Linked DNA regions of Arabidopsis thaliana. The protein of the gene in region 1 interacts with the protein of each later gene in a pairwise test. Each region holds a gene or a part of one and is shown on either strand. Other genes may lie near its edges.

What was found. Proteins that work in one complex are often made in the same cells at the same time.
Region 2: the proteins of WAVH1 (region 1) and BSK2 interact in a two-hybrid assay, tested with the Arabidopsis thaliana proteins (one large-scale study listed by BioGRID).

Annotation. Positions count from the first base shown.
Region 1 is NC_003071.7:9,643,268-9,647,023, reverse strand, and holds the start of WAVH1 (Zinc finger (C3HC4-type RING finger) family protein), read right to left. Parts: upstream 1,755-3,756; 5' UTR 1,592-1,754; coding exon 1-1,591. UniProt on the Arabidopsis thaliana protein: E3 ubiquitin-protein ligase involved in the regulation of root growth. Acts as a positive regulator of root gravitropism. Possesses E3 protein ligase activity in vitro.
Region 2 is NC_003076.8:18,892,431-18,896,186, reverse strand, and holds the start of BSK2 (BR-signaling kinase 2), read right to left. Parts: upstream 1,810-3,756; 5' UTR 1,501-1,809; coding exon 1,425-1,500; intron 1,196-1,424; coding exon 978-1,195; intron 620-977; coding exon 484-619; intron 388-483; coding exon 148-387; intron 63-147; coding exon 1-62. UniProt on the Arabidopsis thaliana protein: Probable serine/threonine kinase that acts as a positive regulator of brassinosteroid (BR) signaling downstream of the receptor kinase BRI1. Mediates signal transduction from BRI1 by functioning as substrate of BRI1.

The DNA of each region.
Region 1 (3,756 bases):
TGATTTTGTGAGATCTACTACCGGTTAAGGAATTGTTAACCGGTGATTTGATTTCAACCAGCAACGCTCTTTCTTCCTCCGCATACATATCACCTAACCGGATTGAACCGGTTCCAAGCCAAGCGGGTCGACCGGAAAGAGAGTAAACAGAAGTTATCTCTCCTTGACCCAACCCGGAAACTATCCCGAGCTGTAAACCGAGATCCTGAACCGACAAACTCAAATAACCGTTGATGGTCCTCGCAAACGCGTCTTCGGGAATCGCGTGGCTAAGCCATATGGTGTGTATAGGGATTCTCGAATGGGCTAATTGGGCCACTTGATGGGCTTGACGGTCCGTTAAAACGAACACGGCGGTGAAAGGGTTTTTCTGCCGGCGATCGTCTAACACCTTAACCGCTTTCTTCAACGCGTCGTTCACACTCATCCCTTCACCGGAGAAATCAATTCCGACGCCGGAGACAGAACCAGGAACGGTGATGATATCTACGATTCTTCGCGCCGATCTCCTCCCGTTCGCCGTCATCCTCCGTAACGGCGATAACCGTTTCGAGCTGGACGAAAACGCAATAATCGATAAACGATCCATCTCCCGGAGATTCGAAAGCACAATCCTCATCGTTTGTTTCAACATCTCCAATTTCCCACCGGAATTTCTCCCGCTTACGTCTAAAACAGCAACCAAATCCACCGGCACTCTACGCGCAAATCCACGCGCCGTCGGAAACGGTGGCGATTTCACCTTCATGACGACGGAGTAAGTCTCGTAGCCTTTACCCGACGCAACGATAGCCGATTCCGGAGAGAGCTTAACGTCCACGTTTCGATCCGTTAACAATTTCGCCGTTAAAGGTGACGGAGTATTAACGGAAAATCCTGTAAACTCCTCGCAGTCTTCGTTCTCATCTGATTCAAGTATTGTGTGAAATCCGGCGGGAGATATCGGAGATGAAATCAAAGCTTCGTCATCGTTGTAAACTCTCAACGACTTGTTTTTAATTTCCGGTTTGATTTGAGATTCCGGTTTAGCGTAATTTCGAATCTCAGGCAAAAGCGAGGATCCGCAAACCGGACAAGAAGCAAGACGGTTATGATTCGCGGCGGCGCGTGAGGTTACGCAAGGAAAATGAAACGTGTGAGAACACTCCGCCGTGAAAATCGCCGTACCTTGACCTGATTTCACACTCTGTAAACAGATTCCACATTTGTTACTGCTACTCTGCTTGAATCGGAGTTTGGATTTGAGGAGAGTGAAGCTCGCCGGAGAAATAGAAGAAGAAGAAGGTGTTAAAAGAGAGACAAGGCTTCTGTTTCTGGGAGTTGTTTCTCCGGTGGTGGTGGTTTTGCACTTAAGCTTTGGAGTTCCGGGAAGAGATGAAGTAGTGGAGACGGCGGTGGCTGTTGAAGTCCTGCAACGGAGGCTGTAAGTTCCGGTGCCGGAATCAGAACGAGGCGTAGAAGGAGTTGAGAAAAAGCCGAATCGAGAGGTTGATTTGTGGCGGAGACCAACGAGTCCGTCGTCGTCGACGTCGTTTTGGTTAGTTTCTTTGGGAATGGAAGTGCAAAAAGCTCTTCTCCAGCCGTTTAACATATTTGCTTCTTCTTCTTCTTCTTCAACCTCGTGACTCGTGTGTTGTTGTTGTTTGTTTGAGACTGAGATTTTGGTTTTTGGTTCTGTGAGAAAGAGATTTTAAGAAAATGAGAGAGTTGCAGAGAGAAGGTGGGAGAGGTTGAATTTAAAAAGGAGTCTTTTTTGTTCAATTATAGTGGAAGATTGGGGATATTGGGATTATCTATATGATTTTTTATTATTTTATTTTATTGAGAGAATTAAGAAATAGTACTAATAGTAATTGACTACCTAAAAAGCTGTAAATATTTTAGAAGTTACTCTATTTGTGTAATTGCTTTTCTACTCCATGGTTGATTATAAGAAAATGATTGATTTTTGGTATTAATCTTTTTCAACATAGAACTTATGAGCTACATCTATTATTGCCCCACTCATTTTAACCTTTTAAGTGATAAAGCTTGTTTACCACCTAGATTAAAAATATATATATATATATTATATAAAAAATTGAACAAGATAAACTTAAAGGCTTCAACCTAAATGCTATGATAGCAGACTGACTATATGTATCTGCTAAATAACTAAACTAATTATTTAAATTTGTAAAATTACTTTTAACTTTACAATTTTACTCTGAAGTTCATTCACAAACTAAAACATTTTGTAAATTTATTTTATAGATATCACCTACTTTTATATGAAATCAAAATATTTTATCAAGAAGAGATCCCTTGTTCTTTTATTATTTTATTTGATTACACGTTATTCAGTAAAAAAAACTTTGGACAAAAACGTTATTTAGTAAAATAACATGTATATGTATAAAAAAATATATATGTTTGTATAAATACATAACAACATTTTAGTTAAATCGTTCAAATAAATATTTTCACTTGCTTATGAATGTTTAATAGTATTTTGGCTATCTAAAAACTTACCAACAAGAAAATATCCAACTATAGGTGATGTCAACCTACGAAGAAGTCTCACATGTCTATTTACATAAGTGGAAGCACTCGTTCACTCGTATGAACAATAAGATGTATGATTGGTCAAGACAAACAAGAAGTAACGTTCTTTACAGATTCCTCAGACTTGATAAAAGTGGTGTCTTTTCCAACAAAGTGACCAATCTTTGCTACGTATTTAGAGGCGATTCATGAAGACAAGGATGTGTTTGATTTTTATATTTATTTTTATTTTTTTGAAGTTAAAATGTTAAAACAGATTATTTAGCACGAAATGTTCATATCCAACCGCATTTTATTACTTTTGTAAACAAGATTTTTAACATCGGTTTATTTAAAGTAATCTAATAAAAGGGTCCATTAAAAAAAAACTTGTTTAGCACCGAAATTTTTGTAATAATGTCTAGTTATTAATGTATGGGCTATACATATATGCTATTATGCCCTATCGATCCGTCTAGTCTCACGCTAAAATTTTTGACTGTCTAAATAGTTGTTATTGGAGAATCATTTGTTGTTTGACCGTTATTGTGTAACACACTATTGAAACTTTGACAGAATTTAATGTAGTAGATGAGCAAATATGATTGGGTTAAATTAATACAGTGCAGTGAATGTATAAACGCATAGATTATGGGATCGATCTATGGATGTGAGCCAATTTTAACTTGTTTATATATCGATCCATGTAAAACATTTAATGTTCGAATCAAGACTTGATCCGATAAGCCATCATCACCTGGTGAATAGAAAATAAACATGTTGCCACCACTAGCTAAGCTATAACAATAATACCAACTACATTTCTTCAGCTATTTATTGCTAAGCTATAATGCTGAAACTGAGGTAATGTTCGTATACTGATAATAACGGTGGATGCAGTAAAAATGTTATAGGTGATGAATGGTTTCTTTCTTTTATCTAGGCCAGTGCATAATACCCGAACCCGATCCAAAAAACCCGATCCGAAAAATCCGATCCAAACTCGAAACCAAACTTTTAAAATACCCGAACGGTTCTAAACTTTAAAATCCAAAAAATTCGAACATATCTCAAATATAAGTATATATTAGTTATATTTATACTTATATATAGAAAATATTAGGATTTTTTTGGATATTTTAGTTATTTTGTGTATTTTTAGATATATTTAAGCAAAGCTACTCGTATTGTTTTGGAAATTTTTGAAATTTTCAAATAATTAAATAAATTTAC
Region 2 (3,756 bases), on another chromosome or scaffold:
GCTTAAAAGATCTAAAAGAATAGTTCCATAACTGAATATCACACTTTCAGGAATGACTCTACCTGCAAAAGAAAAACCAGAGAACTTTAATCTTCAATAATGAATTGGTTTGTCTTCGACTACGATTCACAAGATCAAGAATTTTACCTGTCCGTAAAAACTCAGGTGGAGTATAAGCTAAGTTTGTGCTATAGCTTTTGCCATCTCTACTGTTCTTCATAAGACCAAAAGTAGATAGACGAGGATCACCTTCCTCGTCGAAGAGGATTCTGTATGCATTGAGGTCATGATAGATTTTTCGGTTCTCAATATTGCAGTAATCAAGTGCTTCTGCAATATAGTCTGCGATTCGAACACGCATATCCCATGGAAGTGGCTGCTTTTCCCCTGCAAACAATGCAAACAAACACAGAAAGAAGAGAGTAAATCATCTAAAGAAGACTTTAAACCAAGCTTATAACGAGAGAAAGATAAGACTATTACAGTGGAAGAGATGCTTTGAGAGAGTATCATTGGGCATATACTCTGCCACCAACAACCTCTCATCTCCTTCAGCACAGCAACCGATCAAACTAACTATTCTCTTGTTTCTAAGCTTCCCAACACCAGTCGCTTCCACCTGATTTCACAAGTCAAACAAGGTCAACACCAGGACAAAGCTCCTATTTAAAAGCAGTCAAGATATACAGTCAAGACATTAGTCGTATCCTAAGATTTAAAAGCAGCTTTAAACCCGAAGTTATCGACTTTTCTACAATTCAGTGGTAACCAAACTCAGGGACGCTTATTCTTTTATCGAAAAATGATGCCTTGTTCTTCTTCTGTAACTAAAAACTACACCTAAATCACCATTCCTTGGACTAGTCATTGATGCGGTTTGCCTAAGAGATAGTCCAACAGAATCACCCAGGGTCTAAAATCAGACAATGAATCAATGAACAACAAATCATGCATTGACCTTTTCTCAGATATCTTACCACAAACTGTTGAGCATCAGGCCAAGATTGCCTAGAGAATCGCTTGATAGCTACAAGATGATTCCCTTCAAGCTTCCCTCTGTAAACGACATTAGGAGCTTTCTCTCCACCTTCAGAGACAATGCAGCTAGGACTAAACCCATTGGTAGCTTTCCTCAACTCATTTAGTTCAAATTCTTTGAAATTTTGGATTTCCTGATCCACTTGGTCCCCATTTACTGTAACCACATAACAAAACATACCCCGAAAAGGCAAATCAATCTAAACAAGAGTTTAATTCCAAAAAGGAAGAGACTTTATAACTTTTTCTCTGCTTTAAGCCTTTCACAAACCCTAACCCCACAAATTAAAGCAAACCCATAACAAGAACAGACGAAAAACTGCAGATTTACTAAGTGAGCAAACAAAATGTGAGTTTTTTAGAATCTAAGAGATTAGTATTATTACCTGATTCTGGTTTGTTTGGAGCTGATGGATCATCAGAAGAAGGAAGATTAGCAGTTTTGGAATGTAAACAACCCATTTGTCTCACATCCAATCAAAATATTGTTCTCCACAAAGATCAGAAATTTGGATAAGAAACAGAGATTTTTGTTGTGTCTAGTGTTCTTGGATTGAGGTAATAAAACAATGGTGGGATTTGATTTGGGGCTTGGATTTGTGCTTTGTGAGAGAAGCTGAGGAGGCAGTAGAATATAAAAATTTAATAAAATTTGAAAACTTAAAGACAAAAAGAAGTAGCTAGAGAGAGAGTGAAAGATCTGAAAAATATAGCTTCAAAAAGCTGCAGACTTGAAAAAATAGAGGTAAGAAAAAAACAATAGAGTCATGTGAAGCAAAAGATCTTTAAATTTTTCTGCTCTAGATTTTGCTTGCAAATACTTTTTTTCCTCGGTACTATACACGAAATTTTAAATTTGGGTTTCAGTTTTTAGCTGTGAAATGTAGAAGTTTTTACTACATTAGAAGAGAGACTTTCATATGAATTATCCAAAAGTATAAGTTTTGTATCCAGGTAAAGATAGATATTTTTTCTTTAATTTTGCAACTTTCTCTTAATGTTTATATCTTAGATTAACTTAAATAAAAAGATGATAATTTTTTTTTTGGCCTTAAGAAATTATTTAGGTATATCTTAGATTCTAAAGTCAATAATAATAGTGTTAAGATTTGGTAATAATTTACAAGATGACAGTTTATTTTGCAAAGTTAATAAGAAGGAGTGTTAATACAATAAAATATCAATTAAGAAAAAAAATAGTTAAAAAATATATTAAAACAGATATAATTATTTACAGTTCAATAAACATGTTAAATAGCTTACATCAATTTTGTGTTTACTATTGTCTAATCTTATCTCAAACACTCGTTGGTGACATAATTGAAGGTACAAATTTGTACCCTGCTATTAAAAACTAAAAATCAAAGTCAACAACACAATAACAATAATAGTGAAAATAATTGCTACATGATCTGCTCTCTTATTCGCCTTTTACTATGTAAAAAAAGTATTTACACTCGATTGAGCATTATTGATATATGAGATAAAATGTCAAGACGATTAGGTTTGTGTCATTCATTCTTGTTAAATTTTTTATTTTTGAAATATTGCGTTTTTTGCTTATTAACTTTTGACGACTTCTAGCCTATGACAATTTGTTTTAAAAAATTGTTGGACAAAGAAAATAGGTCACATCACATGACAAGTCTATCATGGGGCACGTGCCTCGACCTTCTTGGGTCCTGAATTTTACCGAAGATAGAAAGTAACTATTCCTCTTTCCATCAATTTTATTAAAAATTAAGGGTCTTTTTAAAAAGCTAATTAAAATTTAGAAGTCTACCACCAACATAATCGGTATTTATTTTAGTATAAGTACAAAATGAATAAGTACCGTTATTACATGATTCTTTTCACACAAAAAGTCTTCGGTTTATTATATATCAACCCCTTCACCGACAAAGTTAATAACGAATAGAGATTTCGAGATTTTAATACTACACAGATCCTTAAATGATAGTACTTGGACCGAATCATCCACTAATCATATGAGAATTTCTACAAAAGAAAGGGGGATAAAGCAAACAATTTTCGATATTATTATTCTGGATTTTCTATTCCAAATATCACAGCTACACAAAAATCCTTTTTTTAATATAACTATTTTAGTTGATGCAATGCAAATACATGAACTAATTTTTTGCTAAAAGAAAAAACTAATTTATTTTCATACAAAAGGAAAATAGTTGTACAATTTCTTTTTTGTATATTCTATATATTTCAACTTGGCCCCTTATTTTCATTGAAATTAAAATTTTAATTCCTTCACACTTTTTTAATTCTTTTATCTTAATTATAATCCTGTTTCTCAAAAAGTTCATAGTAGCGTTGTGGTTCAATATGTATTTTCTGAAAAAAGAAAAACAAAGGTCACTACTAACGTACGTTTTATCTAAACCACGAAAACAAAACAATTAAGAAGAGATGCAATTCAACACTCTCACTAATGTAGGCCTTGTTGGTGCTGCCAAGATCTAAAATGTAAGGTCTCACCTGCTTCCCCAATAGAAGAGACAAGTATATACACAATGATATTAGTATTAACCTAAACTCCTTATTCTCATTAGATGCATGGTCAAGAAAATTACTATTCTCTAGAGAACTACACAACAGAATTTACCGGTACTGAATAAGATCTGCAAGAAGCGTGTTCAGTAGAAATGTCGGCGATCTTTTATTTCTCACGTCCAAAGAAATATCAGCTTTGGTAATGAAGAC